4 linked regions of the Anolis sagrei genome follow. The protein of the gene in region 3 purifies or fractionates together with the protein of the main gene of each other region. This does not show direct contact. Links are inferred from orthologs where the notes say so. Each region holds a gene or a part of one and is shown on either strand. Other genes may lie near its edges. The genes, in order: ANAPC7, LATS2, ANAPC1 and ANAPC2.

Region 1 (7,771 bases), on a different chromosome or scaffold from region 3:
TGAGGGCATCGGTTTCTAGGTGGAAGGTGGTCCCGGTCGGGGTTGGCTTGACTCGCCTTCCTCTTGGCACATTTCTCTTTCGCCCTCCATTCATGCCTCTTCAAACTCTACAGCACTGCTGGTCACAGCTGACCTCCAGCAGGAGTGCTCAAGGGCCAGGGCTTCCCAGTTCTCAGTATCTATGCCAGAGTTTTTAAGGTTGGCTTTCAGCCCATCTTTAAATCTCATTTCCTGCCCACCAACATTCCGCTTTCCGTTCTTGAGTTCGGAATAGAACAATTGCTTTGGGAGACAGTGGTCGGGCATCCAGACAACGTGGCCGGTCCAGTGGAGTTGATGGTGGAGGACCATCGCTTCAATGCAGGTGGTCTTTGCTTCTTCCAGCATGCTGACATTTGTCCACTTATCTTCACAAGAGATTTGCAGGATTTTTCAGTGGCAACGCTGATGGAATCATTCTAGGAGGTGCATGTGATGTCTGTAGACAGTCCATGTCTCACAGGCGTATAGCAGGGTTGGGAGGACAATAGCTTTATAAACAAAGTGCTCTTCCAGCAGTCACCGGCCAATCCCTCTCCAATGCCAGAAATACAGCTTAATGGTGTAACATTAGAGTTGACCATTTCTGCTACTTGGCAGCCACCTCTCCACAAAAGTCAACACTGACACCGAAATACAACACCGCCTGAGCTCTGTGAGTGCAGCATTTTTCCAAATGAAGCAGAGAGTGTTTGAGAACCGGGACATCCGTAGGGATACCAAGGTGCTAAAGGTCTTAAGCCTTCCCTATCAAGCTACCTCTGCCATGGTCTCATAGCATTGAGGCCCTTCCCACACAGCTGAGTAATACCTCACATTATCTGAGTGTGGGCTCAGATAACCCAGTTCAGAACAGATATTGTTGGATTTTCTGCCAGATATTCTGGGTTACATGGCTGTGTGGAAGGGAACAGTTAAAACTCGTGCGCCAACTGCGCCCGTACCTTGGGAAGTCTGACTTGGCCACGGTAGTCCATGCTCTGGTTACATCCCGTTTAGACTACTGCAACGCTCTCTATGTGGGGTTGCCTTTGAAGACGGCCCGGAAGCTCCAGTTAGTCCAACGCTCGGCAGCCATGATACTAACTGGAGCGGAGCGCAGGGAGCATACAACTCCTCTGCTGCACCAGCTCCACTGGCTGCCGATTTGCTACCGGGCTCAATTCAAAGTGCTGCCGTTGGCCTTTAAAGCCCTAAACGGTTCTGGCCCAACTTACCTATCCGAACGTATCTCGGCCTATCAGCCCACCAGGACCCTAAGATCTTCTGGGGGGGGGGCTGCTCTCTATCCCGCCTGCTTCACAGGTGCGGCTGGCGGGGACGAGGGACAGGGCCTTTTCTGTGGTGGCCCCGCGGCTATGGAACGCCCTCCCCATGGAGGTAAGATCAGCCCCCTCATTGATGGTTTTCCGGAAAAGACTAAAAACCTGGATGTTCGAGCAGACGTTCGGTTAACTCAGTGCAATAAGTGTAATTGATTGAAGGACTGGCAATTTGGACGACGAAACTGGATCGCGATTTTAGTCAAGAGATGAATTGGATTGTTTATTGATATATGTACTGTGGATTGTGTTTTTATGTTTTTAAACTGTATACTGTTGTTTGTTATAAGTTGTTGTAAACCGCGTTGAGTCGCCGGCTAGGCTGAGAAACGGCGGTATACAAATATAGCAAATAAATAAATAAATAAACTGAGTCAGGGCAGTTAAAGTGGTGTTAAAATGCATTCATTCTACAGTGTAGATGCTATGACTCTGGAGAAGAGGGTTCAAATCCCCACACAATAGGTGACTCACACTCTCTCAGCCTCTACGGATTATTTATTTATTTACTCTACTTATATACCGCTGTTCTCAGCCCGAAGGCGACTCACAGCGGTTCACAACAAACAAGAACAGCAGAAATTCAATGCTCCAATATAAAAACAATTAACAACCTAACACATTACACACTTAGAAAACAATTACTACAATAACCATTCACTAGCGTCTCATCACTAAAGGACAGGATCCAGAATCGTCATCCATTGTTCCATTCCTATGTCATTACAGTTCATTGCACTAATTCTTCGAACGCCTACTCAAACAACCAGGTCTTCACTTTTTTGCGGAAAACTATTAGAGATGGTGCTAGTCTAATGTCTGTGGGAAGGGTGTTCCACAGCCGAGGAGCCACCACCGAGAAGGCCCTATCTCTCGTCCCCGCCAGCCGTGCTTGTGAAGCAGGCGGGATCGAGAGCAGGGCCTCCCCGGAAGATCTCAAAGTCCTGGTGGGTTCATAGGCCGAGATGCGGTCGGATAGGTAACTTGGGCCGGAACCGTTTAAGGCTTTATAGGCCAACGCCAGCACCTTGAATTGAGCCCGGTAGCAGATCGGTAGCCAGTGGAGCTGGTACAACAGGGGGGTTGTGTGCTCCCTGTGTTCCGCTCCTGTTAAAATCATGGCTGCCACACGTTGGACTAGTTGAAGCTTCCGAGCCGTCTTCAAGGGCAACCCCATGTAGAGAGTGTTGCAGTAGTCTAGACGGGATGTAACCAGAGCGTGGGCTACCGTGGCCAAGTCAGACTTCCCAAGGTACAGGCGCAGCTGGCACACAAGTTTTAACTGTGCAAATGTTCCCCTGGTCACCGCCGAAGCTTGGGGTTCCAGGCTCAGCGATGAGTCCAGGATCACACCCAAGCTGCGAACCTGTGTCTTCAGGGGGAGTGCGACCCCATCCAACACAGGCCATAACCCTATGCCCTGTTCAGCCTTGCGACTGACCAGGAGTACCTCTATCTTGTCTGGATTCAATTTCAATTTGTTCGCCCTCATCCAGACCGTTACAGCGGCCAGACACCGGTTCAGGACCTCGACAGCCTCCTTAGTAGCAGGTGGGAAGGAGTTACAAAGTTGGACATCATCTGCGTACAGATGACACCGTACCCCGAAACTACGGATGATCTCTCCCAGCGGCTTCATGTAGATGTTAAACAGCATGGGAGACAGTATTGAACCCTGTGGAACCCCACAAGACAACGGTTGTGGGGTTGACCAGGTGTCTCCCAATAACACCTTCTGGGATCGGCCCTCTAGGAATGACCGGAGTCACTGTAACACAGTACCTCCAAGTTCCATCCCCGCGAGGCGTTCCAGAAGGATACCGTGGTTGACGGTATCGAAGGCCGCTGAGAGGTCCAGCAGCACCAACAGGGACACACTCCCCCTGTCGAGCTCCCGGCGTAGATCATCCACTAAAGCGACCAAAACTGTCTCAGTTCCATGTCCCGGTCTGAAACCAGACTGTGCCGAATCCAGATAATCTGTGTCTACCAAGAATACCTGGAGTTGTGAGGCCACCACGCATTCCAGGACTTTGCCCAAAAAGGGGAGATTGGACACTGGCTGAAAGTTGTCAAATTTAGGGGGGGTCCAGTGATGGTTTTTTCAACAGCGGTTTTATTATAGCTTGTTTTAAGCTCGCTGGAATATTGCCTTCCCGAAGGGAGGCATTAACCACCACCTCAACCCACTCAGCCAATCCCCCTCTGGCCTCCTTTAGAAGCCAGGATGGGCAGGGGTCCAGGATGGACGTGGTAGGCCTCATTCTTCCAAGTATCTTGTCCACATCCTCGGGTTTCACCAATTGAAAAGAATTACTGTTATGCCTTCTGGCCCTAAGGATATAGGCCAGTGTTTCTCAACCTGGGGGTTGGGACCCCGGAGGGGTCGCAAGGGGGTGTCAGAGGAGTCGCCAAAGACCATAGGAAAACACAGTATTTTCTCTTGGTCATGGGGGTTCTGTGTGGGAAGTTTGGCTCAATTTTATCATTGGTGGGATTCAAGGGGCTTTTTGATTGTAGGTGAACTATAAATCCCAGAAACTATAACTCCCAAAGATCAAGGTATAATTTCCGCAAACTCCACCAGTGTTCACATTTGGGCATATTGAGTATTAGTGCCAAGTTTGGTCCAGATCCATCATTATTTGAATCCACAGTACTCTCTGGATGTAGGTGAACTACAACTCCCAAAACTCAAGATCAATATCCACCAAACCTTCCAATATTTTCTGTTGGTCATGGGAGTTCTGTGTGTCAAGTCTGGTTCAATTCCATCATTGGTGGAGTTCAGAATGCTCTTTGACTGTAGATGAACTATAAATCCCAGCAACTACATCTCCCAAATGACAAAATCAACCCCCCCCCCCCCCAACCCCACTGGTATTCAAATTTGGGCGTATTGGGTATTTGTGCCTAATTTAGCCTAGTGTATAAAATACATCCTGCATATCAGATATTTACATTATGATTCATAACAGTAGGCAAATTCCAGTTATGAAGTAGCAACGGGAAAAAAGTGTTTGGGGTTCACCACAACATGAGGAACTGTATGAAGGGGTCACGGCATTAGGAAGGTTGAGAAACACTGAGAGAGGCTTTTCTCCGAAAAAGGACACAAGCAGCCTTCCGTGCCTCGCCGCGCATGCTCAACACCTCCCTCGCTCGTCTCTCGCTTCCATAGTCACGACTCGGGAAAGGTGTCTACAGCAGTGCCTGGTTTTGTTTTATTTTAAAAATCACCCCTTTGCAAAGGACTTTTTAATTTTTTTAAAAAAGGAGGAAAGTTATAGTTAGCTGAAGTAGGAGAGTAACCCCGCAATGCGTAGAATGGAAGTTCCCCCTGAGGCTGACAGGCGAACGCCGGGGGCAGCCTTTCCTCGGTGAGGGTTGTTGTGGAAGTGTCAGGGCGGCTTTTTCGGCGAGGACCCTTCGGGGAGGCGCCATTTTAGACTTGCTGAGAGGACTCTGTCCGTTACGGCCGACTTGAAGTACGCTGTTTTTTCGTTCCCGTCCCTCTGTCGAGTCTTTCCGAGGCCATGAGCGTGGTGGACCATGTTCGGGAGATGGCAGCGGCGGGGCTGCACTCCAACGTGAGGCTCCTGAGCGGCCTCCTCCTTACGATGAGCGGCAACAACCCGTGAGTGAGGCGCTGGAGGCCGACACGGGAGGCTTGGTGGCCTCCGACCCGCTTTCAACCCAAAGGAGAGTTGGTGGAGAAGCCTTGCAGGCACACTGAGGACCCTTCCACACAGCTGAATCAAATCCCACATTTGAACTGGAATATATGGCTGTGTAGACTCAGATAACCCAGTTCAAAGCAGATATTGTGGGATTTTCTGCCTTGAGATTCTGAGTTACATGGCTGTGTGGAAGGGCCCTGAGTTATATGGCTGTGTGGAAGGGCCTTCCAGGCAGGCCCATTATCCCAGGATCTAATCCCAGGTTTTCTGTTTATAATAATAATAAATAATAATAAACTTTATTTGTACCCTGCCACCAACCTGTGTTGGACGGGGTTACACTCCCCCTGAAGCCACAGGTCCGCAGTTTGGGAGTCCTCTTGGATTCATCGCTAATGCTTGAGGCTCAGGTGTCGGCGGTGTCCGGGAGGGCTTTCGCACAATTGAGACTCGTGCGCCAACTGCGACCGTACCTTGCGAAGGCTGATCTGGCCGGGGTGGTCCATGCCTTGGTCACCTCCAGATTGGACTACTGCAATGCGCTCTATGTGGGGCTGCCCTTGAAAACAGCTCGGAAGTTCCAACTGGTCCAACGGGCAGCAGCCAAGATGTTAACTGGCGCTCCTTACAGAGAGAGGTCAACCCTCCTGTTCAAGGAGCTCCACTGGCTGCCGTTTATTTTCTGAGCCCAATTTAAGGTGCAGGTGCTTACCTACAAAGCCCTGAACGGTTTGGGACCATCCTACCTGCGTGACCACATCTCCGTCTACGAACCCACGCGTTCACTGTGGTCATCTGGAGAGGCCCTGCTCGTGATTCCGCCTGCGTCGCAAGCACGTTTGGTGGGGACATGAGACAGGGCCTTTTCTGTGGTGGCCCCCCGACTCTGGAACACCCTCCCCAAAGATCTTAGACAGGCCCCTACATTGGCAGTCTTCAGAAAGAACTTGAAGACCTGGCTGTTCTGATGTGCCTTCCCAGATTAGGAAATCTCCAATACCAAGTCCCATAAGCACTTTATTAGAACCAAGATTGTTGCACATCGCACTCTGCACTTGCCCTATAAGCCTTATATACCACCTGTCACATCAGCACTTTCAATCTTGTACCCATTACTCTGGCCCGGCCCAGTTCTATTGTGTCTTAATATATTGTTGATTGCTTATTGTTTATATTGCCTTAATTGTTTTTAATTTGCCTTAGGTTTTGTATTGTTATATTGTGTGTTGAGGCCTTGGCCTTTGTAAGCCGCATCGAGTCCTTCGGGAGATGCTAGCGGGGTACAAATAAAGTTTAATAATAATAATAATAATAATAATCTCCCCAATGGGGACTCGAAGCGGCTTACATGAGGCCAAACCCGAACAACAAATTACAATAAAATAAAACGCAAATGGTAAAAGCAACATTGTAATAAAATAAAACATGTAAATACGTAACAATAATAATATAAAGTTACAATAGACGCAATCACAATGACAGTGGGCGGGCTGCATGTAATGATTAAAAGAGACTAATTAAAACTAATTTAAAACTCTGGTGAGATAAAAAGAGACAGATTATTTGTGGAGGAGAACTCATTATAGCAGAGTTGTGGAATCAAGCTTTCCCACAGAGGGGGGACGACATATACTCCAATGACATTTATCATTTATTCCAGATTATCTGGCAGTGCGGACTCATATAATCCAGTTCAAAGCAGAAAACCTGGGATCAGATCCTGGGATAAAGGGCCTGTCTGAGGGTCCTTCCACATAGCCCTATATCCCAGAATAACAAGGCAGAAATCCCATAATATCTGCTTTGAACTGGGTTATCTGAGTCCACACTCAGATAATGTGGGATTTCCTGCCTTGATATTTTGGGATATAGGTCTGTGTGGAAGGGCCCCAGAATATCAAGGCAGAAAATCCCACAATATCTTCTTTGAACTCTAATATCTGAGTCCACACTGCTATATATTCCAGTTCAAAGCAGATAACTTGGGATTTTATTCACATCTGTGGAAGGGGCCTCATAGAATCCAGTGCAAAGCGGATGTGAATCATCAGCTTCAATAATCTGGATTATATGGAAGTGTAGAAGGTGCCTCAAAGTGGTTTGCATTAAACACATTTCAACAATAATAATAAATAAATAAATAAACAAACATTATTTTTAGACCGCCCTATCTCCCCCGGGGAACTCGGGGCAGTTTACACATACAAAGGGAAACATTCAATGCCCGACATATACCAAAATATTACAGCAATAAAACATAATACAGAATAACAACAACATTATACTAATCAAATAAAATTAAATATCAAGATATCAACATAGAACAACTAATCACTAAACAAATACATTTAAAAGCATGATCAACAGTAAAACATCTAACGTAGTCAGCGCCGTTAAAAATTGGGTAAGCATTGGCTGTTAGTTGTTCTTAACTGTACCATAATGGCCATGAAGTACAGATTGGACAGCCTGCAATAGAATTTCAAAGCAGCAAATATACAGACATTACAACAGAATTCAATGTCATGGGTATTTTTAAATGCAGTGAAAATCCATAAAATATGATAGCGGCAAATAGAAGCAGTGTGATATCTTACCAATAACTGCTTTGGTTTTCTTTAAAAAATATGGGTATTTTAGGCCTCTTCTACACTTCCATATAATCCAGATAATCAAAGCAGGAAATCCACATGATCTGCTTTGAACTGGATTCTGTGAGTGTACACTGTC
Region 2 (7,898 bases), on a different chromosome or scaffold from region 3:
AGGATGTAACAATAGCATGGACTGTTGAAGCTGTTTGCAATTTATAATGAAGATTTCAAATTATGTATGTATGTATTTTTAAAATGCAGTAGCTATGTGCCGAGTATGATATATTCCTGTGTGGAAAGAGTTAACTGAACCATGGAGGGAATGGCATTCCTAGAAAGGTCATAAATCAAGCGTATAGAACAAAAGGATGCAGCGTTGTGCATCGTATGTCATACGTCACTCTGGAATGCAAGAGGTGTGGACTAGTACTGATAACAGTTTGTGTGTTCACAATGTTACGATGGGACAGTAAAGAAGCAAGTTTACAATGTGCTGAGTGTTAAGTAGCTTCTAATGTATATAGCTGTAAAATAAAGAAGTTTATAGCATAAGGTGGCTGTGATTGATCTGTTCCTGCTTTGCTGTGCTGCCGATGCCACTGACATGGACCACCGTGGTTGTGAAAGGCATTGCTTTGCCCCACAACATTCGGGATGTAACAAGAGCACGGACCACCGTGGTTGTGAAAGGCATTGCTTTGCCCCACAACATTCGGGATGTAACAAGAGCGCGGACCACCGTGGTTGTGAAAGGCATTGCTTTGCCCCACAACATTCGGGATGTAACAAGAGCGCGGACCACCGTGGTTGTGAAAGGCATTGCTTTGCCCCACAACATTCTTTCAGCCCTGAATTTTTTTCCTGAGGTCCTAATGATTTAGAAGATGGTGTCTCCTTCAATTCTGAATCGAGTAACTGGCAGCACGGTGAAAATACCAAACATATTCAGTTTGTGCAACCCCCTTTTTTCCCTATGGAATGCAGCGATTTGAAATATATGTTACCACATACAGAGAGAAGCTGCAGTACTGATCCGTGTGTTTAATTACACTGAGATTAATAAACAGCAGGTCTTTGGGTTCAGAATTAAATTGAGCAAACAGTTATATCCCATTCTAGGACTTGTTGCAACAGGTCCAAACTCTCCAATCTGTATAATTTAATATCAATGTACCAGCAACAAACTATTGCCATTAACAAGGAATACCAAAATTGTGGGTTATTTCTCTGTCTTATCAGCGAAAAGGGAAGCCAAAGTGCCAGAATCAGAGATCAAGATAAACAAAAGGCTGGGTTCCATGACAGGAATACCTCAGCTCAGCTGCAGTGGACAAAAGTTGGGCTTTGGGTGCATGTACATTATAGGACAAATGTAGTTCGAGACCACTTCACCTGTCATGGGAGAAAGAACTCGTGTCTGTTTGAGGCAAGTGTGAATGTTGCAATTGGCCACCTTGATTAGCATTTAATGGCCTTGCAGTTTCATAGAATCATAGAATCAAAGAGTTGGAAGAGACCTCATGGGCCATCCAGTCCAACCCCCTGCCAAGAAGCAGGAATATTGCATTCAAATCACCCCTGACAGATGGCCATCCAGCCTCTGCTTAAAAGCTTCCAAAGAAGGAGCCTCCACCACACTCCGGGGCAGAGAGTTCCACTGCTGAACGGCTCTCACAGTCAGGAAGTTCTTCCTAAAGTTCAGATGGAATCTCCTTTCTTGTAGTTTGAAGCCATTGTTCCGCGTCCTAGTCTCCAGGGAAGCGGAAAACAAGCTTGCTCCCTCCTCCCTGTGGCTTCCTCTCACATATTTATACATGGCTATCATATCTCCTCTCAGCCTTCTCTTCTTCAGGCTAAACATGCCCACCTCCTTAAGCCGCTCCAAGCCTGGCTTCTTCCTGCCTGTGGGAATCCTTTGTTGGGCAGTGTTAGCGGGCCTTGATTGATTCTTGTCTGGAATTCCTCTTTTTTTAGTGTTACTCTTTATTTACTGTCCTGATTTTAGAGTTTTTAAAATACTGGTAGCCAATTTCATTGGACAATTTCAACAGAAAGGAGGAAACAATGAAAATGAACAAAATCTGGCAACTAGTATTTTAGAAACACTAAAATCAGGACAGTAAATAAAGAACAACTCTTAATAAACAGGGGAATTCCAGACAGGATACAATCAGGTCCAGCTAACAACTCCCAACGAAGTATTCCCCCCCCCGGCAGGAAGCAGCCAGGCTTTGAAGCTGCAAGGCCATTCAATGACAATGAAAGTGGCCAATTGAAACATTCACACTTGCCTCAAGCAGACCAGAGTTCTTTCTCCCACCCTGGACATTCCACAGATATATAAACCTCACTTGCCTAGTTTCAAACAGACCTCACAACCCCTGAGGATGCCTGCCATAGATGTGGGCAAAACTTCAGGAGAAAATGCTTCTGGAATACGGCCGTACAGACCGGAAAACTCACAGCAACTCAGAGGTATCTATGTTCTTGATATCAAGGAAGACAAGAGGAGGGGGCGGAGAAAGTGCGCCTAACTCTAGGCCCCGCCCATTCCAACCACTTGATGGGCGGAGACAGAACGTTTAACTTCAAGCCCCGCCCACTCAAAGCCCCTTTTTTGTTGTTGTTGTGAGAGAATTGGCCTGGATGATTTTTGATGTTTTATTATCCTTGTGGGAGGCTTCTCTCATGTCCCCGCATGAGGAGCTGGAGCTGATAGAGGGAGAGCTCATCCGCCTCTCCCCGGATTCGAACCTGCGACCTATCGGTCTGCAGTCCTGCCGGCACCGTGCTTTAACCCACTGCGCCACCGGGGGCTCCTACTCAAAGCCCTTAATGGGCGGAGACAGAAGCCTAACTCTAAGCCCCGCCTATTTGGAGCTCTTGATGGGCGGAGACAGAACGCCTAACTCTAGGCCCCGCCCATTCCAAGCCCTTGAGAGGCCTAACTCCAAGCCATCCCTATTTCGAGCCCTTGATTGGCGGAGACAGAGCTTCTGAGTCCAAGCCCCGCCCATTCCAAGGCCTTATTGAGCGGAGACAGAACTTCTAAACCCAAGCCCCGCCTATTTGGAGCTCTTGATGGGCGGAGACAGAAAGCCTAACTCCAAGCCCCGCCCATTCCGAGCCCTTGATGGGCGCAGCCAAAACGCCCAACTCCAAGCCCCGCCTATTTGGAGCTCTTGATGGACAGAGACATCTTCAAGCCCCGCCCATTCCACCCCTTGATGAACGGAGAAAGAGTTCCTAAGCCTAAGCCCCGCCCATTCCAAGCCCTTGATGGGCGGAGACAGAACGCCCAACTTCAAGCCCCGCCCATTCTACTCCTTGATGAGCAGAGACAGAGCGTCTAAGTCCAAACCCCGCCCATTCCAAGCCCTCAATGGGCGGAGACAGAACCCTAACTCCAAGCCCCGCCCATTCGGAGCCCTTATTTATTTATTTCTCGTGTCAGGGCAGCCAGTCAATTATATTACATTTCCAACAGAACAAAGCAAACAAACAGAGAAAATACAAAATTTGTGAGTTTGGTAGTTGATCAAATGTCCTTTGACCAGTATCTGGCCACTTGGAGTGCTTCTGGTGTTGCTGCAAGAAGGTCCTCCATGGTGCATGTGTCAGGGCTCAGGGTGCATTGCAGCAGGTGGTCAGTGGTTTGTTCTTCTCCGCACTCCCATGCCGAGGATTCCACTTTGTAGCCCCATTTCTTAAGATTGGCTCTGCATCTCGTGGTGCCAGAGCAGCCTGTTCAGCGCCTTCCAAGTCGCCCAGTCTTCTGTGTGCCCAGGGGGGAGTCTCTCATCTGGTATCACCCATGAATTGAGGTGCTGGGTTTGGGCCTGCCACTTTTGGACTCTCGCTTGCTGAGGTGTTCCAGCGAGTGTCTCTGTAGATCTAAGAAAACTATGTCTTGATTTAAGTCGTTGGCGTGGTGGCTGATACCCAAACAGGAGATGAGCTGGAGATGTCTCTGCCTTGGTCCTTTCACTATTGGCTGCTACTTCCCGGCGGATGTCAGGTGATGCAATACCAGCTAAGCAGTGTAATTTCTCCAGTGGTGTAGGGCGCAGACACCCCGTGATAATGCGGCATGTCTCATTAAGAGCCACAGCCACTGTTTCAGTGTGGTGAGATGTGTTCCATACTGGACATGCATACTCAGCAGCAGAGTAGCATAGCGCAAGGGCAGATGTCTTCACCGTATCTGGTTGTGATCCCCAGGTTGTGCCAGTCAGCTTTCCTATGATATTGTTTCTCGCACCCACTTTTTGCTTGATGTTCAGGCCGTGCTTCTTATAGGTAAGAGCACAGTCCAGAGTGACTCCCAGGTATTTGGGTGTGCTGCAATGCTCCAGTGGGATTCCTTCCCAGGTGATCTTCAGAGCTCGGGATGCTTGTCTGTTCTTGAGATGAAAGGCACATGTCTGTGTTTTAGATGGGTTGGGGATCAGCTGGTTTCCCCTGTAATAGGCAGTAAGAGCACCTAGAGCTTCGGAGAGCTTCTGTTCAACCATCTCAAAGCTCCCTGCTTGAGCTTTGGTTCCAGAAGTAACCAGCATTCAACCCCTTGATGAGCGGAGACAGAGTTCCTAATCCTAAGCCCCGCCCATTCCAAGCCCTTGATGGGCGGAGACAGAACGCTCAACTTCAAGCCCCGCCCATTCCACCCTTGATGAGCGGAGACAGAGCTTCTAAGCCGAAGCCCCGCCTATTTGGAGCTCTTGATGGGCGGAGACAGAACGCCCTAACTCGAAGCCCCGCCCATTCCAAGCCCTTAGTGAGCGGAGACAGAGGTTCTAAGTCCAAACCCCGCCCATTCCAAGCCCTTAATGGGCGGAGACAGAACGCCTAACTCCAAGCCCCGCCCATTCGGAGCCCTTGATGGGCGGAGACAGAGCTTCTAAGTCAAATCCCCGCCTCTTTGGAACTCTTGCTGGGCGGGGACAGAACGCCCTAACTCGAAGCCCCGCCCAGTCGGAGCCCTTGATGGGCAGCTGGGGCCCCGCCTCCTGGCTGGTATGCGAAGGGCGGGCGGTGGAATGACGCCGGGGCCCCGGGGGTCACGTGGGGGCGAAAGGAATGCTAACAATGTAGCGAATGTCCCAACTGTGCGGGGCTGCTGCCGCATTTCTGGGCGCGAGGCGGAGGGAGGCGAGAAGAATGGAGAAGCAGCAGCAGCAGCAGAGGCAGCAATACGAATATGATGATTTGCGGGGCGCCTTCCGAAGCAGAAGCCAAGCTGTTCCCAGAGTGGTGGAAGTTTCCCCTTGATCCTTTTTCCCCCAGGAAAGAAAGAAAGCAAGCAAGCAAGCTTCCCTTTTGGAGGTAAGGAGCGCAGGAGGGGTGGGGCTGGGCGCCTTCCTCCTCCTTCCTTCTCCCAAAGCCCTTCTTGCTTTTCCTTCCTTGCTTCGGAGCAACAAGTCCGGGGAAGCTGTCGTGCAAAAGTTACTCAACTTGGAAGTATGAGAAGGAGAAACCCCGGGCATTGCAATGGCTCCTTCTTGGAAGTTGGGAGGGAGGAGTGGAAGGCTGGATGGTCATCTGTTGGGAGGGCTTTGGTTGTGTATGCCTGCATGGCAGAATGGGGTTGGAATCATCATCATGGTGGAGCCTCCTTCTTTAACTCCTTGAAGCTTTAATTCAGCAACTGGATGGCCATCTGTCGGGAGGGCTTTGGTTGTGTATTCCTGCATGGCAGAATGGGGTGGAATCATCATCATGGTGGAGCCTCCTTCTTTAACTCCTCGAGGGTTTTATTCAGCAGCTGGATGGCCATCTGTTGGGAGTGCTTGGGTTGTGTGTGTTTTTTCATGGCAGAATGGAGTGTTTGGGTTGTGTAGTCTTATATGGCAGAATGGGGTTGGACTGGATGGCCCTTGGGGTTCCCAACCAATTCTCCCTAACAATGCATTCCAAGTGGTGTTAGACTGCACTAATTCTGCAGTGTAGATGCTCCAGAACATACATGGGCAAACTTGGGCCCTCCAGGTGTTTTGGACTACAACTCCCACAATTCCTAACAGCCGGTAGGAATACTTATTATTGATAATAATATTGCAATATATTGCAATATAATACTAATAATGCAAAATGGTAATAGTATTTTATATATTACATGTAATATTACTAATAGTATTGCAGTATAGTAATACAAAATACTAATATTGTACTAAGCTAATAATACAATATGATAATCGTATTTTATATGTAATATTAATAATAATATTGCAACATAGTGGTATAGTAATATATAATACTAATATTGTACTATGCTGATAATATAATATATTGTATGTACGTATAATATTGAGCATAATATTGTAATACAATATAATCTTAAAGAATACAATATAATAATAATGTAATAATTATATATTACACTATAATAATTGTATATTATATAGTCCATGTAATATTACTAATAACATTGCAGTATAGTGTATAGTAAAATATAGGAATATATAATACTAATATTGTACTATGCTAATAAAATAATATCCTGTATGTACATATAATATGGATCATAATATTGTAATACAATATAATCCTAAAGAATACAATATAATAAAACAATAATTATATATTACATGTAATATATAATGTTGATAATACTATTATAATGTAATACAATGTAATGCTAATAATATTACAATATACTAATTGTATATTAAATATTACATGTAATATTACTAATAATATTGCAGTATAGTGGTATAGTACAATATAGGAATATATAATACTAACATTGTACAATGCTAATAATATAATGTATTTTAAGTATATATAATATTGATCATAATATTGTAATATAATGCAATAAACTAATAATACAATATAATAATTCTGTACTATATAATACATGTAATATTACTAATAATATTGCAGTATAGTGGAATATATAGGAATAGTGGAATATAAATAGGAATATATAATACTAATATTGTGCTATGCTATATATTGAATGTACATGTAATACTGATCATAATATTATAATACAATATAATAGTAATAATACAATTTGCGCAGTTGGTTAAACCGCTGAGCTGCTGAATTTACTGACCGAAAGGTTCACAGTTCAAATCCAGGGAGGGGGTGAACTCCCACTGTTAGCCTCAGCTTCTGCCAACCTAGCAGTTCGAAAACATGCAAATGTGAGTAGATCAATAGGTACCACTTCTGCGGGAAGGTAACAGTGCTCCATGCGGTCATGCCAGCCACATGTCCTTGGAGATGTCTAGGAACAATGCCAGCTCTCTAGCTTAGAAACAGAGATGAGCATCACCCCCCAGAGTCGGTCACGACTAGACTTAAAGGTGATGGGGAACCTTTACCTTTACTAAAATCAATATATTGAAAAATTTGGTGGATCTTAGATTCAATGACATCTTGGAACAGAATAAATAAGATATTACTATTCATGTTTTCCCAGTACTATCATCACATGGCATTCATAGAAGCAGGGCCGTAGCCAGAAAAAAATTTCGGGGAGGGTTGAAAATTTGGGGGGGGGGGGGTGTGTGTGAAAATTTTGGGGAGGGTTGAAAATTTTGGGGGTGGGTGGGGTTGAAATCTGCTTCCTAGCTCACGCTGAAGCAAAGAGCACAGCAGGGGGCAGAGCAACCTTCAATAGCCTGCAGCTCCACCCCTGTCAACCACCTCCACCAAGTCTGGCCCCCAACTTGGTTGCTTCACTACATCGGCTATTGCTGCAAGTAATAATAATAATGAATAAATTGTCAATATTTGCTTGAGATAGTGCTTACATTTCTGGAGGGACTCTTGATTTTTTTGCATCTCATAGACTTAGCATGGGGATTTGGTTAACCAGTTAAAATTCATGAGTAAACCAGTTTTTTTAAAAAAAATCTGAAACATTTCGGGGGGGGGGGTTGAACCCCTAAAACCACCCTCTCGCTACAGGCCTGCATAGAAGTTCCTTCTCAATTTTTATTTATCAACGTCTTCCTCAAATTTCTGAAAACTACTAGTCTCTCTCCCACCCCCACATTAAAGTCAAATACAAAAAAAGTTTCAAAATATTTTTTTTGCCAAAAATAGTACTGTTTTAGA
Region 3 (7,823 bases):
AAAATAGAAAAGAAAGAATAGAAAAAGAAAAAAGAAGAAAATCTTGACTTCTGACTTATCTTCATTCAACTACAAAGAATAACATAGGCATCACCTTCCAATGTATTGCCAAAGGCTTTCATGCATGGAATTACCGGGTTCTTGTGTGTTATGGCTGTATGGCCATGTTCCAGGAGCATTATCTCCTGATGTTTCTCTTGTATCTATGGCAGGCATCCTCAGAAGTTGTGAGGTCTGATCTCTGAGATTGTATCAATGTATGATCACAGCAGCTAGATTACTATATGCACAGAAATGGAAGAATTCAGCAGCAGAGATCAGAAGACCAGACGATAAACCTCACAACCTCTGAGGATGCCTGCCACAGATGCAGGCAAAATGTCAGGAGAGAATGCTTCTGAAACATGGCCATACAGCCCAGAAAACACACAACAACCCATAACTCTCCAAGTTTCTTAGTATTATTTTTTCTTGGGCAAAAATCCTTTTCAATTTGGTTTTCAAATCTTACAATCCTTTCCATCTTCATGCCAAAATTCAATAAAAGGTTCCCAGTCATGCAACATTTTTTCCAATGTTCCTTGTTTTTTAATAAGCAGCTTAATTTATCTACCTCACCAAGTCCATAATTTTTATCATCTAGTCTTCTATTGTTGGTGCTGAGTTCTTCCATTTCTGCCCATATAGTAATCTGGCTGCTGTGATCATATATTGAAACAATCTACTATAGTAATTTGTATCATTCAATCCAAGTAAAGAAGTATCTGGTTTTACCTGGATATTTTTCCCAAAAAATTTCTGGATCAACTTATGGACTGAATCCAGTATTTCTTGGCAATTTACATGTCCACCACATATGGTAGAAAGACCCCACTTGTTGTTTACATTTCCAGCAAGTGTCGGAAACCTCTTTAAACGTTTTAGAAAGCTTTTCAGGAGTCATGTATTATTGGCACATCATTTAATTCAGCATGCACTACTGAAAATAAGGATTCTTTTCACTGTAATACAGTCGTTGGCCACAAGTTGTCGCATGTGTGACTAATTAGGCAGTCATACCATAGTGCATGTTGAGATATTTAGGGTGAGAACAGTGTTCAAGCCCTTGGCCTTCCCAGGTAATTTTCAATTTTCTATTGGCTTCATGGTTATCTAGGTGGAAAGCACACACTTGTATCTTGGCAGAGTTAGGCTTCAGGTGGTTATCTTTGTTTTTGTTTTTGTTTTTTTTTCATGTCAAGAGCGACTTGAGAAACTGCAAGTTGCTTCTGGTGTGAGAGAATTGGCCATCTGCAAGGATGTTGCCCAGGGGACGCCTGGATGTTTTGATGTTTTACCATCCTTGTCGGAGGCTTCTCTCATGTCCCTGTATGGGGAGCTGGAGCTGACAGAGGGAGCTCATCCATGCTTCTGGCCCAGTGTATCTGTCCGAACGGATCTCCCTCTATGTCCCACCCCGGAGTCTAAGATCTTCTGGAGAGGTCCTGCTCTCGACCCCGCCTCTATCACAGGTGAGATTGGCGGGGACGAGAAGCAGGGCCTTTTCGGTGGTGGCCCCCCACCTGTGGAACTCACTCCCCGGGGAAATTAGATCTGCAACATCGCTCCTTTCTTTTAGGAAAAAACTAAAAACATGGATCTGGGACCAGGCATTTGGTCAGGCGGGCAGATAGAGAGAGAACTTTATGGATGGCTAGGAAATGACTAATGGACTGGACACGAGGAACTCTGGAAACGAAACGCTGATTATAAGAATGTTTTTATATGATATTTTATATAATATGTTGGGCACCGGTTGCTGATGTTTTAACTGTGATGATCGTTTTAATTATATTTCTGTATATTTATTTTTGTATATTTTTGTATACTATGTGTAGTGTATAAAGGCATCGAATTCTGCCTTCTTTGTAAGCCGCCCTGAGTCCCCCTCCGGGGGTTGAGAAGGGCGGGGTAAAAGTACCAGAAATAAATAAATAAATAAATGCTTTCCCTAGATTTGAACCTTCGACCTGTTGGTTTTCAGTCCTGCCGTCACAAGAGTTTAACCCATTGCGCCATGGGGAGCTCTGTTATCTTTGTAGTAGCTGGAGAGATCTTTCAGGGGATTAGTAAATTGCTTGTTGACTTTTGCTTATGTTGTTAGGCCAAGGTCATCAGCGTTTATAAAGCTCTTTGTGAGTGGTGGTTGTGGCTGATCCTTAGTAAAGATGTTAAACAAGGCTGGTGCAAGAAGGCTGCCTCGAGGTAAACCTTTTTTTTCTTTTTGCCTCTTCCACCTACTTTTCCTGCCCTGAAACTCCATATAGAAGCTGCAGTTTTCTAGGAGGGTCTGCATAGTTTTTATAAAACCATAGTTCCGGGTGATATGGTAGACTTTATGCAGCATGTCCAGTTAGTTGTGTTAGATTCAAATGGATTTATTTATTTGTTGTTGTTGTTCATTCGTTCAGTCGTCTCCGACTCTTCGTGACCGCATGGACCAGCCTACGCCAGAGCTCCCTGTCGGCCGTTACCACCCCCAGCTCCCTCAAGGTCAGTCCAGTCACTTCAAGGATGCCATCCATCCATCTTGCCCTTGGTCGGCCCCTCTTCCTTTTGCCTTCCACTTTCCCCAGCATAATTGTCTTCTCTAGGCTTTCCTGTCTCCTCATGATGTGGCCAAAGTACTTCAACTTTGTCTCTAGTATCTTTCCCTCCAGTGAGCAGTCGGGCTTTATTTCCTGGAGGATGGACTGGTTGGATCTTCTCGCAGTCCAAGGCACTCTCAGCACTTTCCTCCAACACCACAGCTCAAAAGCATCGATCTTCCTTCGCTCAGTCTTCCCTAAGGTCCAGCTCTCACATCCGTAGGTGACTACAGGGAATACCATGGCTTTGACTAGGCGGATCTTTGTTGCCAATTAGGCGGATCTTTGTTGTATTTATTTAGGACATTTCTATCCCGTTGTATCTCGACCTCCGCAGAGGGACTCAGGGCGGCTAACAACCAACACACCATGGTGTCCACAACCAAAACCAAAAGCAAAAATATACAATTTAAATAAAACCAATATAAAAACAGTATAAAAACATTCAAACAGTCAGTCGCCGATTTAAGTCATTGCCCTAAAAGCAGTCCATTAAGTCCATTAAAGCCATCACTTTGCCAGCCGGTCAACCTAATCTGCAAAGGCCTGATCCTATAGCCAGGATGTCACTTGTTTCTGAAAGGTCAGGAGGGATGGAGCTGATCTAATTTTGCTTGGAAGGGAGTTCCACAGCCAAGGGGCCACCACAGAAAAGGCCCTGTCCCTTGTCCCCACCAAACGCAATTGTGATGATGGGGGGACAATGAGAAGGGTCTCCCCGGATGATCTTAGGGTCGTAGGTGGATCTTAGTGGGAGATATGTTCAGGGCTTTATAGGCCAAAGCCAACACTTTGAATTGTGCTCGGAAGCTAGCAAATATTGTGCTCGGAATCTACCAAATATTAGGTTAGGCCAGGTCTGGGCAAACTTTGGCCTTTCAGATGTTTTGTTTCCAACTCCCACCATTCCTAACAACCTCAGGCCCTTTCCTTTTCCCACTCAGCTGCTTGAGGGGGGAAATGGCTTCAAACTACAAGAAAGGAGTCTGAGTCTGAGTGAAAGAGGGTCTACTCTAGCAAACCTTTTGTATTGTTACCCCAATACCCCCATGCATATGAGATATATTGAGCATGGTGATCAGATCATGATATGAATAAACATAACAGTTTAAATAATGTACCAGTAAGGCCTTTTTGCAGACCACCATGAAAATTGGGGGGGGGGGGGGCTGAAGCCCCCCAAGCCCCCCCCCCCCGGCTACATGCCTGTATGAGGCTGTTAGGAATGGTGGGAGTTGGTGTCCAATTCAAGGTGGTGGTTTTGATCTACAAAACCCTACACGGTTCCGGTCCAGCGTTATCTGTCCTAACGCATCTCCCTCTACGTCCCACCTCGGAGTTTGAGATCATCTGGGGAGGCCCTGCTCTCGACCCCACCGCTATCACAAGTGACGGTGGTGGGGGACGAGGAGCAGGGCCTTCTCAGTGGTGCCCCCCCACCTATGGAACTCACTCCCTCCTCTCCTTCAGGAGGAAATTAAAAACATGGTTGTGGGACCAGGCCTTCGGGCAATCTGACAACTAGATAAAGACAATTAGACGACTAGGACTGGCAGGACTGACAAAGTGGAATTGGTATTTGGACTATGAGATGGCGAAGGCTGAGTGTTAATTAGGTGAAATCGATTTTATTGGTTTTATTGTTGCAGTGCAGAAACTGATTGTGAATTGTTTAATTGCTGCTATATTGTTTTTATTCTACTGTTATGTTGATGCCGGCATCGAATCGTGCCTTTGTAAGCCGCCTCTGGGTTGAGAAGGGCGGGGTAGAAGTAACCAAAATAAATAAATAAATAAAAACAACTGGAGGGCCCAAGTTTGCCCAGGCCTGGCCTAGCCAGTATTTGCCCCTTCCTTGCCTGAAACCTCAACACAGCAGATCCAGATTGTCAAAGCAGACAATCTGGATTCAGAAAAGTGGATTATATGGCAGTGTAGATGGGGCCATAAAAGGTTTTCACCAAGGATAAATAAATCAAGCATCCCAATGAGAAGCAAGGCCAAGGAATACAAGGGTATCCTGGTTGCTATAGTAACAGCAGCTGGGCCTAGGCCAGCCGCCTGTTGCCATGGGAACAGTAGAACGGAGGTCTCCCTCTTCTGCTTCCCTCCATCCTTCCTGCCTGACTTGGGAAGCCTCAAAGGCGCCGTTTTACTGACATCCGTTAGCCCCGCCTCCGGCCTTGTCGCGGGTGGTGATGGGAGTTGCAAGATGGCGGCGCCCGTGTGAGAAGCTGAGGGGAGAGTGTAGTGCCGCCGAGAGGACTTCGCTTGTTGTTGCTGTCCGGGGAGAGACGGGGGAGGAGCCGCTGGAGCCCAGGCCCGCCGCCCGCCGCCCTTTCCTGTGTCACTCAGGTGGGCGAGCCTCCGTTGCCCTCGTCCTGGGCCCTTTCAGCAGCAGCCATGCTTCCCGCCTTCTCTCCCCTTCATTCAGTCGAAGAGTTAATGCAGCTTGAGACAACTTGAACCCTGGGATTTGTAGCTTGGTGGGGCACCCACACTCTTTGGCTACTACAAATCCCAGCATCCCAGAATGGGGGATGCCTGGCTTATTGCTGGGGTTAGGTTCCAGGACCTCCCGCAATAATTGAAAAACTGCGATGTAGGGATGCTCTATCTATTTAATTTAATATTTATACATTATTTTAGTAGTTATACACTATTCTAAGTCTTTATAAACTTAAAGTGAAGGAAAGGAAGAAAAGGCCCTTCAAGGCTGGAGGGAGGACTGAGGAGCGAAAGCAAAACACCAAAAATACAGCAATATATATTTTAAATTAATAATTTTTGAAAACCGCGAAACAGCGAGTCTGCTAAAAGCGCGAAGTAGCGAGAGAACACTGTACGTGTGAGAAAGATCTTGGAGTCCTCGTGGACAGCAAGTTCAACATGAGCCAACAATGCCATGCAGCAGCAAAAAAAGTCAATGGGATTTTGACCTGCATAAATAGGAATCTAGTGCCTAGATCCAGCGAAGTCATGCTACCTCTCTGTTTTGCCTTGGTTATACCACACCTGGAATACTGTGTCCAATTCCGGGCATCACAATTGGAGGGAGATGTTGACACTGGAATGTGTCTAAAATGATCAAGGGTCTGGAGAACAAGCCCTGGCAAAAGTATGGTAGCTGGGATCCTACGCTGGTTGCACAACACTGGTCTGAATTAATGAGGGGAACACGTGTGCAAGACAGCACAGCGGAGCTGTGTCAGAGTCGTGGCAAGGTAGTTCGCCAGAAAGGGGAAGAGGAAACATTTCTATTCCATTTACCATCTTTGTAAGCCGTTGTTTATTATTTAACAGTAAATAACTCTAACATTACTTCATTCACCTTAAGCACTATGCTTGGCTGTTTGTTGTGTAACTCCTTTGGTTTGGTTGTAGCAGATCTTAGCTGAATCCATTTTACACCTATTGAGTGGTCTGGGTGCCTTAATTTTAGAGCACTGAAAGAAAAGGGAGTAGTAGAATTGAAGATTTTTTTGGTTGTGTCAGGAGCGACTTAAGAAACTGCAAGTCGTTTCTGGTGTGAGAGAATTGGCCGTCTGCAAGGACGTTGCCCAGGGGACGCCCAGATGATTTTAATGTTTTTATCATCCTTGTGGGAGGCTTCTCTCATGTCCCCGCATGAGGAGGTGGAGCTGATAGAGGGAGCTCATCCGCCTCTCCCCGGATTCGAACCTGCGACCTGTCGGTCTTCAGTCCTGCCGACACAAGGTTTTAACCCACTGCGTCACCAGGGGCTCCAGAATTGAAGATAATACTATGTAACAAAATTTGAAAAAAAAATCTTCCTGGTTTGAAAGTGTTATTTCCTGTTTAATTGTGCAATACTTACTTTGAAAGTAGTTATTCTACTTCAGAAACTTTGTTTCTGTGATTGCCACAAACTATGTTGAATTGGTTGATATAAAATATTCATTGAAAAACTAGAGCAAAATGTGTTGCAGGATATCCCGCAAAAACAAAGTTTTTGCAGTTTGATAACTGTTTTCCATCTTTTAATGATAGAACCAATTAGGAAATGACAATTATAACCTAGGAACAAAATTTGTATTACATAGTGTATATGTTGAGCAAAAGTATTGTGGCAACTTAAACATTAGCAACTTTTATCTGATGTAAGTTTTCATAGATTGCAGCCTGCTTCTTTAGATGCAGTAGAAGAAAGTGGGCATAGTCAGCAAATGCATACAATTTGTAAAATTTATTTGTCTCTTAGGTGGTACAATAACTTAATATGACTGCATTTATATGTCAACTGTCAAGTTATGGTGACCTTATGAATTTCATTGCTTGGGAAACTTGGTGGTAGATTTGTACTTCTTTCCTCTGAAATATAGCCTACATACAGCCAGTGGTTTTCCAAATAATAATCAGAACTGACATTACTTACCTTCCAAGTTCAGATAGGATCTGGTGTCATAGGGTATTTAGGTCATGCTGCCATTCTGAAAATGGTTTCACTGTTGAACACCTTCTGTCTGCATTTTGGTCTTTTTTCAGAAATAATGTTGATATTTGGAACTCATGTCGAACATCTATGAAGAGAGGGTAATGATGATTGCAGCAGGGGATTTGCAGGAGTTTGTCCCTTTTGGCCGTGACCACTGCAAGCACCATCCTAATGCGTTGAACCTGCAACTTCGGCAGCTGCAGCCAGCCTCGGAAATTTGGTCGTCAGATGGAGCAGCTGGTTTGGTGGGGTCGCTTCAGGAAGTTACAATCCATGAGAAACACAAGGTAGGAAGTGGCACTTTTGAAAATACAAATGTATAACTTACACCAAAAAAAAAAAAAAAAAAGATAAGCAAAGAACAGAGGAAAGCAATACAAAGCTGCAAAGGAAAAGGCAGGGAAACATAATGATCTGTTAACCTAAATACTAACTCATAAATATGCCACGCATGTGGATCCCTTTGCTTAATGAAAACTCAGTGAAATGTGAAAAACATGTATTTTACCTGGAATAAAGCTGTAGATGAGCAACACTTGAAGCCTTGTCTTCCATCATTATATATTTATTACTTATATGTCTCTTTTCTTCTGGCATGGCTCCCAAGGCAGCTCCCAAGTAAACTTGGTTAAAACCTTACAGTAAATAAATAAAAACAATTAATCTGTCTGCAAAGGGAAACCAAGGAAAAGCCAGCGTAGCCTTCCTTAGAAGTCCATTACAGATTGTGGGAAATTCCC
Region 4 (7,263 bases), on a different chromosome or scaffold from region 3:
CTACAACCTTCTGGTGACAATCAGAAATGGAAAGGAAGAAGGAACGGGTGTAGAACACAGAAGTCTACAAGCAAAGAGAACTGGACATACAGGCTGGGAATTATGGTTAATATTCCTTCCATTTGATGCTTGGGGAGACTAGTTGTTGCTCTTGGATCCTTTATCAAGCATACCTTCCCCTTCTGGCGACTTTCAGACATGTCAGAAAACAGCTCCCCCATTTTCTTAACAATTATCCACCAACTAGGAAAGCTGAAGGAAAGAGCAGCATGGAGGTCAAATCTCACAAGAGGACCCCCAGGCCCCCTTTCATCCCTAAGTCCCCTTCACTCCATCATCAGACCCCCCTCCCAAAAGCAGACAATTGTACTTACAGAATACTGTTGAGTTGCTGGAAGTGCTCCACAGCTGTTACGCACCAGCAGCGCTCCCTCTGACACCCGCACCCGGCGCACTGGCTTCCTTTTCTGGCAGGCTCTCCCAAGATCTCCTCCTCCTCCTCACTTTCTGCCTGGTGGTCCTCACTCATGCCGCTCTCCCCCTCGGACATCCTGGGCTCCCGACTCCTCTTCCGCCACATGTAAATCTTGAAGCTGCGGCCATAGAACTGCCGAACCATCTCCCCGAAGCTATGAGGGGTGCTGAAGAAGAGGACGGCCCGAAGCAGGCTGTGTACCTTGGCCCTGAGCGGCTGGGCGCCCGTCCCGAGGAGCAAGCCCTCCTGTGTCCAGCCCTCCATCATGGTCAGGCTGCGCAGGTAGGGTTCCAGCCGGCGCCAGAGGAGGGAAAAAGCATCCAGGATCAGGAGGGAGCACTGAGCCTCTTCGGCCGTGTTCTCGTGCTGGGACACGCCGCTCCAAAACTCGGGGGAGATGCGCGCCTGCAGATCCATCTGCAGTACCTCCAGGAACCACTCCTCCAGCGCTGAATGCAGGCCATGGGCCTTCAGCACCTCTACCGCTGCGTGAAGGTCCCGCTCCGATGGGATGTCTGCCGGCTCCGACTCTGGCACCAGCGCCTGGGAAACCACAAGAGGCAGACTTAATGGAGAAAGCTTTGAAGACTGAGCCAGAGGTGCAAGGCATGAGGCGTCCCTTGCTATCTCTTTTAGCCATTCTATGTTGTTGTAGGTTTTAAAGGGTCATTTGTATTGTTTATAGCCTTTTGAGTCACTTTGAGGCCCCTTTCATTCATACAGCCAAATGAAATCCCACATTATCTGTTTTGAACTGGGATATATGTCAGTGTGGATTCTGATGTTTCAGCTCAAATCAGATATGTCATCAGTTGGGAACCCCTCCCCCAGCACTAACTGCTGCTCTGGACCAGAGTGAAGAGAGATGGGACCAGGGGACAGTTCCATCTTGTCTCCTGCATATGTCATCAGTTGGGGATCCCCCCCCCCCCCCCGCAACAACTGCTGCTCTGGGCCATAGTGAAGGGGGGGGGGCATGGGACAGTTCCATCTTGTCTCCTGTGCTATGCTAATAATATAAAATAGTATAATATAATATAATATATTGTATATACATATAATATTTATAATATTATAATGTAATGCAATATAATACTACCACTAATAATAATATAATATTATAAATATAAATATATATTTATATTATATGTAATATTACTAATAATATTACAATATAATGGTATAGTACAATAAAGTAATATTTAATACTGATATTATACTATGCTAATAATATAATATATTGTATGTAACTTGTAAGTCGCTCTGAGTCCCCTTCGGGATGAGAAGGACAGCATTAAAATGCCATAAATAAATAAATAAATAAATAAATATTCTGCCTTGATATTCTGGATTATATGACTGTGTGGAAAGGCCCTGAGTCTTGTTAAGAGAAGAAAGCGGGACGTATAACATTATTAACAACTACAACAATAACAACAGCACATGCCCCGTCAGAGACAGAAAGTTCACAAAGGAGTGGGAAGAAGAAAGGACAGCTACAGCCCATGTTGGTGCAGCAGATGGGCTGCACTGCTGAACTTGCTGACCGAAAAGTGGTTCGAATAGCGAGGTGAGCTCCGCTGTTAGCTCTAGCTTCTGCTAACCTAGCAGTTAGAAAATATGCAAATGTGAGTAGATCAATAGGTACCGCTTCAGCAGTCATGCTGACCACACGATCTGGGAGGCATCTACAGACAACGCCAGTTCTTTGGTTTAGAAACTGAGATGAGCACCACTCCCCAGAATCGGACATGACTAGACTTAACGCCAAGGGGAAACGTTTACCTTTACTTTATACATACATATAGACAAACAAACACACATATATGTCTTGTTATACATACACACACCCATATATATCAGTGGTTCCCAACCTTTTCTTGACCAGAGACTACTTTGGCCAGGTAGCACTCTCCAACATTAGTACCAAAAGGGTTACGAATCAGTTTTTGGTCAATTTTAGATTCAGTTTGGTTATCTGGGGTGCTGAATCAGAAAATTGTATTGGATAGACCACATCAGCTCTAGTTTCTGATACAGAACATACGGCATCCAGTAGTCGCCATCTGCTCGCTCACATATTTAAACCATATTTAACTAGCCTCGGAACTATTAGAGGGTTTTGCGAGACCAGTTGCTCCCGTTGCAACAGTGTAGTAATGGTGAGGCTGTGGACCATATTTTAGGTCTTGCGGACCACTAGTGGTCCACGGACCACAGGTTGGGAACCACTGCTATACATGACCCATGAGATGTCTTCCAACTCTATGATTCTATATAATAATAAATACAATATAATGTATTATATACCACACAATAAAACATAACATAATATATTCCATACTATAGAACAGGCATGGGCAAACTTGAGCCCATGCCTGCCCGACCCTTCACGTGTCACCTGAGGCCAGTTCACACGTGACCCCCGCTCCCCCCGTGGCTGCTCGTACCAGGCCCAGGGCGGCGGGCGGGACCAGGCCCGTGCTGAGGGCGCGCCAGGCGGCGGGAAAGGCCATCCCGGCGGAGGCGGAGGAGGCGGGCTCCGTTCTGAGGCGGCGGCCGTTGAGCGGAGAAGAGGAGGCGGAGCTCTCCGCGGCGGGAGGGAGGAAGGAAGGAAGGCGAGCCCGCGGAGACGGAGGATGACCCAGCAAGGGGCCGCCCTGCAGAGCTACAACAACGAGCTGGTCAAATGTGCGTCGCTCAGGCTTCGGCCGGAAGTGTAGGCCTCGCGTTGCTATGGAGACGCGGCCTACTGTGGCCGGCGTCGCAGAGAGACCTTTGGGGCCTTTTCGGGTCGGGGCTCGGAGTCAGAAAGCGGGGACACGTGGGGAGAAAAGGGAAGGAGAGGGGTTTGGGGTGCCTCCGCACTATTAAGGGGTGAAAACGCTTCAACTGTGGCGTCCCTTCTCCCGCGTGGGCTCCTGGGAAATGTAGTTTGGGGCCTAGAACAGCGCGAACACTTTGTTTATCCAGTGACGTCATGACCCCGCCTTCCTTTCGCCTCCAATAGAAATTCGAGGCGGGTGGCACAACACAGGGCAAAGGCAGATAGATAGATTTCATTAGATAGATAAATTAAATTGATTGATAGATGGATTAGATAAATAGAGTGATAGAGTAGATTAGATAGATAGATTAGAGAAACAGATTAGATAAATTAGACAGATTTGATTGATTGATTGATTGATTGATTGATCGATCGATCCATGGATTAGATAGATAAAATGATAGGTAGATTGATAGATTGATCAGATAGATAGATAGACAGAGAGATAGATAGATTAGAGAGATAGATTACATAAATTAGACAGATTAGTTTAATCAATAGATGGATTAAATAGATAGAATGATAGGTAGGTAGATAGATTAGTTTGATAGATTGGATAGATAGATCAAAGAGACAGATTAGATAAATTAGACAGATTAGATTGATTGATAGATGGATTAGATAGAATGATCAATAGATTAGATTGATAGATCAGTTAGAGAGATTTTTTAGATACATTAGACAAATTAGATTGATTGATGGATTAGGTAGATAGATTAGATTGATAAAACTAGATAGCTAGATCAGATAGACAGATTAGATAAATTAGACAGATTAGTGTCATTGATAGATGGATTAGATAGATAGAATGATAGGTAGGTAGGTAGATAGATTAGATTGGATAGATAGATCAGATAGACCAGAAAGATAGAGAGATAGATTAGATAAATTAGATGGATAGATAGATTAGATTGATAGATTAGATAGCTAGATCAGATAGATAGACAGATTAATTAGACAGATTAGTGTCATTGATTGATGTAGATAGATAGAATGATAGGTAGGTAGGTAGATTAGATTGATAGATTGGATAGATAGATCAGATAGACCAGAAAGATAGAGCGATAGATAAATTAGATGGATAGATAGAATAATAGATAGATTAGATTGATTGATAGATAGATTAGATAGATCAGATAGATTAGAGAGATAGATTAGATAAATTAGACAGATTGGTTGATTGATTGATTAGTTGGATTGATAGATGGATTAGCTAGAGGAGATGATTAGATAGATGAGATTGATTTATTAGATAGATGAATTGATAGATACATAGATGATAGGTTGATTGATTAGATATATAATAACAACAATAATAATCTTTATTTATATCCCACCCCATCTCCCCAAAAGAATTCGGGTTATCTTACAGCATAAATAAATACAATAAGTAATATATACAAAATAAATAACAAATCAGCGAAAAAGGGAAAACAAAAAAAATAGACAAATTAAACAATAAACCGTAAAAAAATAAATTAAAACACAGTGGTTCCAATAAGTTAAATACAAGCCAAAATATCCTAATCAGCATATATCCATAACACTAAAACAAAGACCTCGTCCACTTTATTTATTTTTTACGACATTTATATGCCGCCCTTCTCACCCAGAAGGGGACTCAGAGCGGCTTACAAGATATATATACATACAATATATTATATTATTAGCATAGTACAATATCAGTATTATATATTACTATATTGTACTATACCATTATATTGCAATATTATTATTAATATTACATGTAATATAAAACATATAATTTTAATATTGTATTATTAGTAGTAGTATTATATTGTATTACATTGTAATATTATAAATATATGTATATACTATTATATTATATTATACCTATTATTAGTATAGCCTGGAGACAAGGTGGAACTGCCTTCCTGCCCCCCCCCCTTCCACTGGCCCAGAGCAGCAGTTAATTAAAAGGTATTAACCTAATCATTTTCAAAGTCCTTCTTTCAAAGTCCTCCGAACATATTCCCCCCTACGAACCATCAAGATTACTAAGATCGTCTGGAGGGGCCCTGCTCTCGGCCCCACCGGCCTCACAAGCACGGCTGGTGGGAACGAGGGCCTTCTCGGTAGTGGCCCCGCGACTCTGGAACTCTCTCCCGCCAGAGGTTAGAACCGCCCCAACAATCCTGACATTCAGGAAACAGGCGAAGTCGTGGTTATGGAGACAGGCTTTCGAAGAATGAGACAATGATCTGGATGGAAGACGGTGTATATTCGATTTTAGTATGACGACTGACCACTGTAGTTTTAAATATATGTGCTTTTTAAATGTTTTATTGTAATGTGTATTTTGATATTTTACCGATTGTATGTGTTTTTATGGTTGGAAACCGGGCTGAGTCCCTCTTATGAGGTGAGAAGCTCGGTATATAAAACTTTGAAATAAATAAATAATAAATAATTCTTAAAAGTCGTGAGAGTGGCTGCTTGTCTGATCTCCTTGGGGAGAGCACTCCAGAGCCGGAGCGGGGCTCTGTTGAGAGGGCCTTTTCCCTCGTTCCCACCAACCTCACTTGCGACGGGGATGGGATCGAGAGGAGGCCCCCCTCCAGCTTATCTTAAAGCCCAAACGGGTTCATAAAGGGGGATGCGGACATGTAAATAGGGACAACTCAAACCGAAAATTGAGAAACAATTACACGCAAAATATGAAAATTAGAGGAACCAAAGGGTGGGGGGACAGCTTGGAAAGGCACTTCCATGCAGTGTGGACACAACCTTCTTTTGAAGCATCACCTACGGCAGCAGGAAGGATTCACTGTCGGTTTCCCATCCAAGTCCAACCAGGGTGGACCCTGCTTAGCTCCCAAGAGCAATGGGATCTGGTGCCTTTGGGTGTATTTCAGGGCCTTGGCCTTCTCCAAGTGGCCCCTGATTGAGACAAAGGGGCTGGAGTCCCTTAAATGGGCCCATTGGCCATAGTTTGGAGACCCCTGACCTATGCTTTTGCCCTTTCCTTCCATCCTTCTAGGCATCGAGGACCTGTGCCTGAAGCGGGAGGAGCTGTCCAAGCAGATACGTCAGGAGGAGGAGGAGAAGGGCAGGCTCCAGGGCGAGATCCGCACCCTGACCGAGCGCCTGGCCCGCGTCAACGAGAACCTGGCCCGCAAGATGGCCTCCCGCAACGAGTTCGATAAGACCATCGCCGAGACTGAAGCCGCCTACATGAAGGTGCGGGGAATGAGGGGGATGGGGGCTTCTGCTAGGGATCTACACTGCTATATAATCCAGTTTCTGAATTCAGATTATCTAGTTTGAGCTGGGTTATATGAGGCTGTACTGTTGGAAATAGCAACCTATCAATCATCTATCTATCTATCTATCTATCTGATATATCTTATCTATCTAATAAATCAATCTTATCTATCTAATTATCAATCTATCTAATCCATCTATCAATCTATCTAATCCATCTATCAATCTATCTAATCCATCTATCAATCAAATTGTCTAATTTATCTAATCAATCTGATCAATCTATCTGATCTATCTATCTATCTTATCTATCATTCTATCCATCTATCAATCAATCTAATATGTCTAATTTATTAATTTATGTATGTAATTGCTTATTGCATTGTGTATTGGTTTGCAGTTTTCTTTAACTCTTTGTTGTGGGAGGGGCTGCAGACTAAGACTCCATTTTAGATGTTTGTCTAGCCGTAGCCCAAAAAAACAGACATAAAAATGCAATCCTTTCCTGCTTCCCAGATCCTGGAAAGTTCCCAGACGTTGCTCAGTGTCCTGCGGAAGGAGGCAGGGAACCTCAGCCGTGCCACGGGAGCCACGGAATCCAAACCCCCCGCAGCGAAGGACAACTGAAGGGTTGGTCTCCAATCCCTCTGACTCTGGGCTCTTCTCGGGGAGGTGTTTCATAGGCAAAGTAATGTATAATAAAGAGGATTTTGTTTTCCGAAGGCTCCCGTACTTT

Evidence for each region.
Region 1: the proteins of ANAPC1 (region 3) and ANAPC7 fractionate together in Homo sapiens (co-fractionation; 6 studies listed by BioGRID and IntAct, with this or other methods). This does not show direct contact. The link is inferred for Anolis sagrei from reciprocal best matches to the Homo sapiens genes ANAPC1 and ANAPC7.
Region 2: the proteins of ANAPC1 (region 3) and LATS2 purify together in Homo sapiens (affinity purification with mass spectrometry; 3 studies listed by BioGRID and IntAct, with this or other methods). This does not show direct contact. The link is inferred for Anolis sagrei from reciprocal best matches to the Homo sapiens genes ANAPC1 and LATS2.
Region 4: the proteins of ANAPC1 (region 3) and ANAPC2 fractionate together in Homo sapiens (co-fractionation; 8 studies listed by BioGRID and IntAct, with this or other methods). This does not show direct contact. The link is inferred for Anolis sagrei from reciprocal best matches to the Homo sapiens genes ANAPC1 and ANAPC2.

Annotation. Positions count from the first base shown.
Region 1 is NC_090034.1:42,384,093-42,391,863, forward strand, and holds the start of ANAPC7 (anaphase-promoting complex subunit 7), read left to right. Parts: upstream 1-4,768; 5' UTR 4,769-4,897; coding exon 4,898-4,998; intron 4,999-7,771. UniProt on the Homo sapiens protein: Component of the anaphase promoting complex/cyclosome (APC/C), a cell cycle-regulated E3 ubiquitin ligase that controls progression through mitosis and the G1 phase of the cell cycle.
Region 2 is NC_090023.1:28,496,235-28,504,132, reverse strand, and holds the start of LATS2 (serine/threonine-protein kinase LATS2), read left to right. Parts: upstream 1-4,893; 5' UTR 4,894-5,153; intron 5,154-7,898. UniProt on the Homo sapiens protein: Negative regulator of YAP1 in the Hippo signaling pathway that plays a pivotal role in organ size control and tumor suppression by restricting proliferation and promoting apoptosis.
Region 3 is NC_090021.1:24,115,023-24,122,845, reverse strand, and holds the start of ANAPC1 (anaphase-promoting complex subunit 1), read left to right. Parts: upstream 1-4,810; 5' UTR 4,811-4,982; intron 4,983-7,133; 5' UTR 7,134-7,157; coding exon 7,158-7,370; intron 7,371-7,823. UniProt on the Homo sapiens protein: Component of the anaphase promoting complex/cyclosome (APC/C), a cell cycle-regulated E3 ubiquitin ligase that controls progression through mitosis and the G1 phase of the cell cycle.
Region 4 is NC_090031.1:15,871,971-15,879,233, forward strand, and holds the start of ANAPC2 (anaphase-promoting complex subunit 2), read right to left. Parts: upstream 3,010-7,263; 5' UTR 2,992-3,009; coding exon 2,926-2,991; intron 1,019-2,925; coding exon 375-1,018; intron 1-374. Other genes in the region: microtubule nucleation factor SSNA1, read left to right, coding at 3,115-3,166, 6,304-6,503, 7,044-7,154. UniProt on the Homo sapiens protein: Together with the RING-H2 protein ANAPC11, constitutes the catalytic component of the anaphase promoting complex/cyclosome (APC/C), a cell cycle-regulated E3 ubiquitin ligase that controls progression through mitosis and the G1 phase of the cell cycle.